Ovis aries: one gene and its partner. The main gene of each other region encodes a partner of the protein of the gene in region 2 in a complex. Links are inferred from orthologs where the notes say so. Each region holds a gene or a part of one and is shown on either strand. Other genes may lie near its edges.

The links.
Region 1: the proteins of SERPINA10 (region 2) and PROZ are in contact, whole or in part, in a crystal structure (PDB 3H5C), measured with the Homo sapiens proteins. The link is inferred for Ovis aries from reciprocal best matches to the Homo sapiens genes SERPINA10 and PROZ. Residues at the interface, in NP_001094077.1 of Homo sapiens: Arg88, Lys89, Ser91, Met92, His94, Asp95, His257, Asp259, Lys260, Tyr261, Asn282, Phe283, Lys305, Met306, Asp308, His309, Leu310, Ala311, Leu312, Asp314, Tyr315, Leu316; in NP_003882.1 of Homo sapiens: Cys129, Pro131, Cys141, Leu142, Pro143, Ser151, His250, Met251, Arg252, Asp254, Ala257, Glu259, Asn260, Glu284, Lys285, Asp286, Phe287, His290, Leu291, Thr336, Thr337, Arg338, Arg390, Ser392, Leu393, Trp394, Gln397.

The regions. Positions count from the first base shown.
Region 1 is NC_056063.1:85,860,000-85,863,801, reverse strand, and holds part of PROZ (vitamin K-dependent protein Z), read right to left. Parts: intron 3,507-3,802; exon of another isoform or gene 2,514-3,506; intron 2,074-2,513; exon of another isoform or gene 2,000-2,073; coding exon 1,975-1,999; intron 1,588-1,974; coding exon 1,474-1,587; intron 1,038-1,473; exon of another isoform or gene 341-1,037; intron 261-340; coding exon 129-260; intron 1-128. UniProt on the Homo sapiens protein: Appears to assist hemostasis by binding thrombin and promoting its association with phospholipid vesicles. Inhibits activity of the coagulation protease factor Xa in the presence of SERPINA10, calcium and phospholipids.
Region 2 is NC_056071.1:56,759,848-56,764,258, reverse strand, and holds the start of SERPINA10 (protein Z-dependent protease inhibitor), read left to right. Parts: upstream 1-1,583; 5' UTR 1,584-1,644; intron 1,645-1,849; 5' UTR 1,850-1,963; intron 1,964-4,411. UniProt on the Homo sapiens protein: Inhibits activity of the coagulation protease factor Xa in the presence of PROZ, calcium and phospholipids. Also inhibits factor XIa in the absence of cofactors.

The DNA of each region.
Region 1 (3,802 bases), on a different chromosome or scaffold from region 2:
ATGGTGGGTGGGGGGCGGGTAGGGAGCCTGGCGAGGGCTGGGAAGCCCGCTCCCCCAGCCCTGACCAGCCACAGCAGGGGAGGTGGGCTTTCAGAGTCGCTGCAGAGGAAGGCCGGGGGGAGACTCACCGTGGGGGAGGCAGGACCTGCGGTCTTGGCCCAGCGTGTGGCCCCTCGCGCAGCTGCACGTGTAGGACTCTGGTCCCGGGTAGCAGAAGTGTTGGCACCCGTCCAGCCTCAGAGGGTGGCATTCGTTTTTAGCTAAAAAAGAAAATGGGGAAAACAGAAATGTTACCCCGGAAACAGCCATTCTGAAGTATCCTTTTCAATCCATCCTAAAGGAAATCAGTCCTGAATATTCATTGGAAGGGCTGATGCTGAAGCTGAAACTCCAATACTCTGGCCACCTGATGGGAAGAACTGACTCATCTGAAAAGACCCCAATGCTGGGAAAGATTGAGGGTGGGAGGAGAAGGGGACGACAGAGGATGAGATGGTTGGATGGCATCACTGACTCAATGGATGAGTTTGAGTGAGCTCCGGGAGATGGTGATGGACAGGGAGGCCTGGCGTGCCGCAGTCCATGGGGTTGAAAGAGCCGGACACGACTGAGCGACTGAGCTGAACTGAACAGCTATCCTTGAGCATGGGGCTCTGGCCTTTCATTCCAAACACGCTCACGTGAGCACTTCCATTCCGGGTCAGGAACGAACGGGCGTGGAGCCCCGCGCGCCCCTCACAAGGATCCTCCTGGCCCCTCTGTGGGCTCACTTCCCGCCACAGCAGCCGGACATCTTAAGGGGCTTCTTCGAGGTGGGGGTCGGGACGGGGAGGGGACGCATGTGGGGTGAAGCTGGAACCCCTGCTCGGCGCGCTGCACTTGGGGTGTCCTTCCAGCACCCGGTTGAGCTCTCAGGGAGGCCGGTGGAGCAGGTTCCGTAACATCGAGAGCGGAGTTCACTTCTGCATGGAGGGGTCTCTGGCTGCTTTGACCCCCGCTCCCCGCCACCCCAACCCGCAACATTGAAGGGACACCAGGTGATGAAGCTGAGGACGGTCTCGCACCCATGACCCAGGGAGCTGGGCCCTTGGGGAAGGGGCGGGGGTCCCGGGGAGGGGCGGGGGTCCCGGGGAGAGGCGAGGATCCAGGGGAGGATCGCGGGTCCGGGGAAGGGGCGGGGGTCCCGGGGGAGGGGCGGGGCTCCCGGGGAGAGGCGAGGATCCAGGGGAGGATCGCGGGTCCGGGGAAGGGGCGGGGGTCCCGGGGAGGGGCGGGGGTCCCGGGGGAGGGGCGGGGGTCCCGGGGAGGGGCGGGGGTCCCGGGGAGGGGCGGGGGTCCCGGGGGAGGGGCGGGGCTCCCGGGGAGAGGCGAGGATCCAGGGGAGGATCGCGGGTCCGGGGAAGGGGCGGGGGTCCCGGGGAGGGGCGGGGGTCCCGGGGAGGGGCGGGGCTCCCGGGGAGGGGCGGGGCTCACCAAAGGCACAGTTGGGGCCCTCATAGCCCGGCGCGCAGGTGCACGTGTAGCCGCGGATGCTGTTCTGGCAGGACCCGTTGTTGAGGCAAGGCTGGGAGGCACATGGGGAGCCGCCTGCAGAGAGGACGCCCCTCACGGGTGACCCCCTGACGCCCCTGGCTCAGCCTGCCCGCCTGCCCCTCTAGGATCCATCTCCTTGCCGAGAGGCCTCCTGGAGACCCCCGGGCACCGTGGTCCCCAAACAGCACCCGCAAGCCTTGCCTTCCGCAGCTTAACGGCTCTGGCCATCAGCACGAGGCCCATGGGAGCTGGGGGGTGGGCGAGCTTCCCCCTCATCCCGCGGCCCGGCGCCCTTCCTTTGGGTCAAAGTCCAGGAGCCCAAGGCTGGACACTGGGAATCCTCTGGCCTCGAGTTCTCAGCCCTGGAGAGCGGGGTTGATGCCTCCTCCCATCAAAGCAAAAAGCAGAGGAGGTGGCAGGCGGGGTGGAGGGGACACTCACCCATGTATGTCTTCCAGAATTCATCCTGTCCGAGTTAACATCAGAGTGTTAGAAATCAAACACCTGTTCTCCCACCTTCTCCTGCAGCTGAGCTTGAAGGTGAGAAAATGCTGACTCTGTTCACTTAGTAGGAAAATGCTGGTTGAAACGAGAATGTGAAATTCTCTACATCTGCTTCACTTAAGTGAAGCGAAGTCGCGTAGTCGTGTCCGACTCTTTGTGACCCCATGGACTGTAGTCTGGTAGGCTCCTCCCTCCATGGGATTCTCTAAGCAACAACACTGGAGTGGGTTGCCATTCCTTTTCCAGGGGAACTTCCCAACCCAGGGATTGAACCCGGGTCTCCCCCTTTGCAGGCAGACTCTTTAACCAGCTGAGCCACCAGGGAAGCTACACCTACTTAATGCCCTCTTTAATGCGTGACTCCGGGAGATGGTGATGGACAGGGAGGCCTGGCATGCTGCGATTCATGGGGTCGCAAAGAGTCGGACATGACTGAGCGACTGAACTGAACTGAATATATGTCCTGGGCTTCTCAGGTGGCTCAGTGGTAGAGAATCGCCTGCAGTGCGGGAGAGGCAGGCTTAATCCCTGGGTCAGGAAGATCCCTGGAGGAGAGCATGGCAACCATCTCCAATATTCTTGCTGGGAAATCCCGAGGCCAGAGGAGCCTGGCGGGCTGCAGTCCATTGAGTCGCAAGAGTCGGACAGGACTGTGGGACTGAACAGCCACCCCAACGCGTGCTCTGCGTCCTGTTTGGTGTGTATTTGCTGTGACCCACTTGAGGAAGGGAGAGTGTCAGTAGCTGAGACGCAGCACAGATCCCACGGCCTCCCGGGCGCCTCCCGTCCTGGTGGTCTCCAGGACCCCACTCCGCAGCGTGCCGGATGCAGATGTGAGAAATTCCCACCCCTTTTCCTGTTTTATAAGCCAGTTCAGCAATGATGGAAGTTTGTAAATTGCGTATGGGAGGCGTTGTGTTCGGGCAGGGCAGCTAAAGGTGGGAGACCCCTCAGGCTTAAAGCCTGGAGGTAAGCGCATGAGCCACACACCGTCCCCAGCTCCCAACAGCTCGAGTGGGCTTGCAGCCTCAGGGCGCAAGCCCAGCTTTTCTTCCACCAGGAACTTTTCACTTCTCCCAGTTCTATGAAAGATGGTCTGTTTCAGAGGAGTTTTCTTATACATGGGCATCCAAGAAAATATATTTTAAAGCAGTTAAAAAATATATTAGAGAGAGGCTTCCCTGGTCCCACAGTAAAGAGTCTGCCGGCCGATGCAAAGGACACAGGCTCCATCCCTGGCCCAGGAAGATCCCACGCGCCTCGGAGCACCTAAGCCTTCGTGCCCAGCTACTGAGCCAGAGCTCTAGCGCCCTTGGGCCGCAACTGCTGAGTCCATGAGCCCAGAGCTGCGCTCCTCCAGAGGAGCCAACGCGACGAGAAGCCTGAGCACCACAAGGGAGAGGGGGCCCGCCTGCCACAAGAGAGAAAGCCTGCAGCCGTGACGACCCGCCATAGCCGAAAAGAAGCGGGTAAATAAATGGACCCTAAGATATGTGTGTGGTGGTTTGATCGCTAAGTTGCGTCCGACTCTGGGACCCCATGGACTGCAGTCCGCCAGGCTCCTCTGTCCATGGGATTCTCCAGGCCAGAATGCTGGAGTGGGTTGCCATTCCCTTCTCCAGGGGATCTTTGCAACCCAGGGATCAAACCCAGGTCTCCTGCACTGCAGGAAGATTCTTTACTGAGCTATGAGGGAAGCCCCCTAAAAATATATATATATATATATATATATATATATATATATATGTATATATGTATATTTAAG
Region 2 (4,411 bases):
ACTCCAGGGGCCGGAAGGAGAGGCTGGCTCCTGTGCTGAGCCTAGAACCCTGGCCCAGCCTCATCTGCCTGCACCCTTCACTTTGGCCTCTTCAGGCAGCCATTCTCAACAGAGCAAGTATTTCCCCAGAGGAACACTCTGGAAACTTGCTGGGGGCACTTCTGATTTCCACAACCATTTGGAGCAGCGTTATTGGGTTTCCATGAGTGCGGGCCAGACATGCCAGATATACTGGAAACGCACAGACCTGTCCCCCACAATGAAGTGGCGTCACGTGACTGCAATGTCCCGCCGCAAGTCCACGTGGATGGAACATTTGAAAACCCATTAATAAATGATCTGAGCCCAGACTCTCACAGGGCCACAGGTATTTTAGCTCAGCTAAAAACACCATCCCCCCCACCACCACCAATTTTTAATTCCCAAGGAATTGCCTATGAAAATAAATCAGAGGAAGATTTGTATGTTGTTTTGGAGGAACTGAACGTGACTCACCATTGCAGAAAGCCGCATCGCTGGTAGTGACCGTGGCTGCGGCGTGGAAGGGCCAATATGACAGGTGCGCAGCAGAGAGTGCTCCCACCTGGTCCCGCATCTGACAGTATCGCTGCCGCTTCTAGGGTAGTCACGGCAGAGCATAATTAAAGAAACGTTATCTTCTCACAGTTTCCTTTTCCCCTCCATATTATAAAGCATTATTATTATTTTTTAAATGTTGTGGGTAGATTCTATTAACTACAAATTTCACTTCAGAGTAGTAAAGGGCACATAAAATATTTATATTATCAAAAAGAGTCCAACAGTCTAACAGTCTAACAGTTTGAGGATTTTAGTCTTAGAAGTCCATTGACCTGGTGAAGCAGAGAATTAACCTTGAAATAGGCTCTTTATGGCTGGTGGTGATTAAAGGGTCTGTCTCTCCCACTGCGGGGGGTGGGGAGGGCACGGGGGGCTTCTCAGGTGGCACAGTGGTAAAGAATCTGCCTGCCAGTGCAGGATATGGAACAGACGTGGGTTCCGTCCCTGGGTAGGGAAGGTCCCTTGGAGAAGGAAATGGTAACCCATTCCAGTATTCTTGCCTGGAGAATCCCCATGGACGGAGGAGGCTGGTGGGCTACAATCCATGGGGTCACAAAGAGTTGGACACAACTTAGCAACTAAACAACGACAGCTCTCCCAGTGGACTGAAAAGTTCCCTGGGAGGTGCTGGGGGCAGGCCTTATTCATTTCTGCCTTCCCTCCTCACACGGAGCCCAGCTTTGAGTTGGGGACCCAGGAGGCCTCCATGGGATCCAGCCCTTCCTTCCTGCGAGGTGTTCAGCACCTGCAGCAACTATGTCCCACGAGGAGCTGGATCTCACTAGGGTGCTGCCTGGGTTGAGAAGCAGAGGCTCTCATGGAGGAATTGCCCGAGTCAGGAGTGCAGGATTACAGGGGATTATGGGAAGCTTTTCTCTGCATCTTGGCTTTCCCAGAAACACCACCATCTCCAAGCAGAATGTTAATCAGTAACAGCCCCCCGGGGGCAAGGGGGTCACACTTTGGAATAGCAAATATTTACTGCAGGCTTCCAGCTACAAGCCCTAACCTTCTGTCTTTGCCCTGAATGAAGGACCTTCCCAGGCACCAGGTGGCCTCTCACTGGTAAGAACAGTGGATCAAAGGGAGGCTTCACAGTGTCTGCCTAATGAAGAATAGGGAGAGAAGACCTGTCCTCTCTGGGTGGGTTCCCAGGGGAGGGGGTGGCAACCTGGGCAGCGCTGATCCCTCATTCCTGGACTGGATGGGGCGGGCAAGGAGGTGGGGGTGGTAAGAGGCTTGTTGTAGACACAGGAGGCTTCTTCCGCAGAGAGGAGGCCAGTGGAAGAGGCTTTGAAGGCTTGAGATGTCATGCCCACAACACTCCATGCAAGCCCCACATAGCTCCCTGGCCTTCTTCTCAGAGACCTGTCTGCCCGAGCAAGTGAGTTCCTGCTGCTTCCAGATTTGGGGGTGGGTTTGCAGCTCCAGGTACATTCAGGGCTGAGAAGTGGTGTGTGAGTGGTGGGTTTATTACTACTCAGGTTCTAGAGTGCCATATCTCTGTGTCATCCTTAAAAAAAAGTCTTTTAATTTTTTTTATTTATTTATTTTTGGCTGTGCTGGGTCTTCATTGCTGCACGGATTTTTGTCTAGCTGTGGCAACCAGGGGCTACTCTCGAGTTTGCAGTCCATGGATATCTCATTGCAGTGGCTTCTCATGCGGGGTACGGGCTCCAGATGGGCAGGCTTCAGTAGTTGCAGTACGTGGGCTCAGTAGCTGTGGCTCATGGGCTTTGCTCCATGGCATATGGGATCTTCCCAGAGCAGGGATTGAACCCATGTCTCCTGCATTGGGAGGCGGATTCTTTACCACTGAGCCACCTGGGAAGCCCCTTAGAAAGTGAAAGTGTTAGTCACTCAGTTGTGTCTGACTCTTTGCAACCCCATGGACTGTAGCCTGCCAGGCTCCTCGATTCATGGGATTCTCCAGGCAAGAATACTGGAGTGAGTAGCCATTTTCTTCTCCAGGGGATCTTCCTGACCCAGGCATTGAACCTGGGTCTCCCACACTGCAGGCCGATTCTTTACCATCTGAGCCACCCGGGAAGCCCCTTAAACAAAATTAATGGCAATTACAATGAAGTGAAGATGAACAGGTTCAGGAATAGCAGAGGACTTGCAATTTGGGACAAACTGGCAAACCATAGACAATTCTCAGAGAGACAAAGGCAGGCTGGCTTTTCTTAGCTTCTGGGAGGAAGCTGGGGAGGGTTGCTTTGAACAAAAGCTCATTGGAGGAGAATGAGAGTTCAGAGTTATGGCAATTTCTTGTCGGAACCAAGTGGTGGGTAGTTTGCTGTTACTAAGGTATGTGGAACTCTTCTTCCTGCTGATCATGAATACTGAGATGAGTGGGAATGTGTGAGAACCCACCCTGCCATCTCCTTCTTCAGGGGTATCTTCACAACCCAGGGATCAAACCAGCATCTCCTACATTGGCAGGCAGATTCTTTACTACTAGCACCAGTCTGTGGAAACCATCACAGACAGAAGTGACTCTGAATTTGAGAGTATCGCTGTGGGATTAATTTACAAAGGGGTACTAAAGCCTGTGATATAATGAAGGCATGAATCTGGGTACATTTGGTACACTCCAGCAGGTCTTTACCCAGCACATTTAATGCTGGAGTTACCTTTAGAGTGCAGGCTTGCCATTTAGAACTGGGCAAAGCTTCCTAAGTGCTCACAGAAAACAGAGGAGTATTTCGCTGAGTAAGGTCATGCCACTCAAGCAATGGAAAGAACGAGGCCCTGGATCCTATGACACTGTTTAGCAAAAGCCAAAGCAATGTGCTAAGTCCCGGAGCCAGGGTTCATCTTGTAGCCGGCCCAGCGAGGACACAGGCCTCTGCGTCCACAAGAGGCCGGGGAACCTCACCCCGCCAGCACATTTTGCTTCAGGTGGCCTGGCTGAGTGAAGGTCTCTGCTGATAGAAACTCTGTGAGGCCTGTGGCCTCCCTTGGCCTGTGTGTCCTGCGCTGAGTGGTCCTGCCCCACCCAAGCCCTCCTGGGGCAGTGGGTTCAGAAGAGAGCGAGGGTGCATCTCAGTGACCTTCCAAGCCAGCCTCTGGTGGTGTCAACACCAGGAGCCCCGTGTGGCCCATGGGGGTTTATTCAGATGGAAACTCCAGGTGATCGGGAGCTAGGCTCTGTGCCCAAGGATGAGAGGGAGGCCAGAGAGGGGGCAGTGGTGGGGAGTGTGGTGTATGGAGACCCACTGCCCAAGCTGGAGGGCTGGCTCCGCTAGAACAGGCAGCCTCAGAGTGGGCGAGAGGACGCACTTCACAGGTTGAGGGTTAGGTGAGACAGTCCAAGCAGAGTTTAGCCCGGGCCCGAGTGGTTTGAATTGGCTCATCATCCGTTCCTATCCTGGGGGGCTCTGGAGAGAGTGAAGGCAGGAAGTCCTGAGAGGAGCTCTGTGACTGGGTCCCAGGGCTGGGCCGAGCGCTGTAGGGGAGGCACGGGGGGTTTATTGCAGAATCAGGCAAACTCAGCATTCATCCTTGCCCCATGGCCCCCCAGACCCTCTAAGTCCCCAGCCAAAGGCCAAGGTCCAAGTCCCCACAGCCCAGCTTGAACAGGCTGCCCTATTGCCCAGCGATCCAGGGCAGCGAATGAAGCAAGTAGACAGGGAAAGCTCTGGGAAGATCTCCCAATTCCCGGCGCTGCTGTGACCAGCACCCAGTGAGGCCGAGGACCCACACCGCATTCCCTCACATCCCCTCCCTTCTTGGCTGCCTGCCATTCTCCTGGGAGGAACTGGGATGGGTGAGGACAGCTGGGGCAGCCTGATCCCTGATGGAAACGAGAGGAGGTTTCTCTCCATGA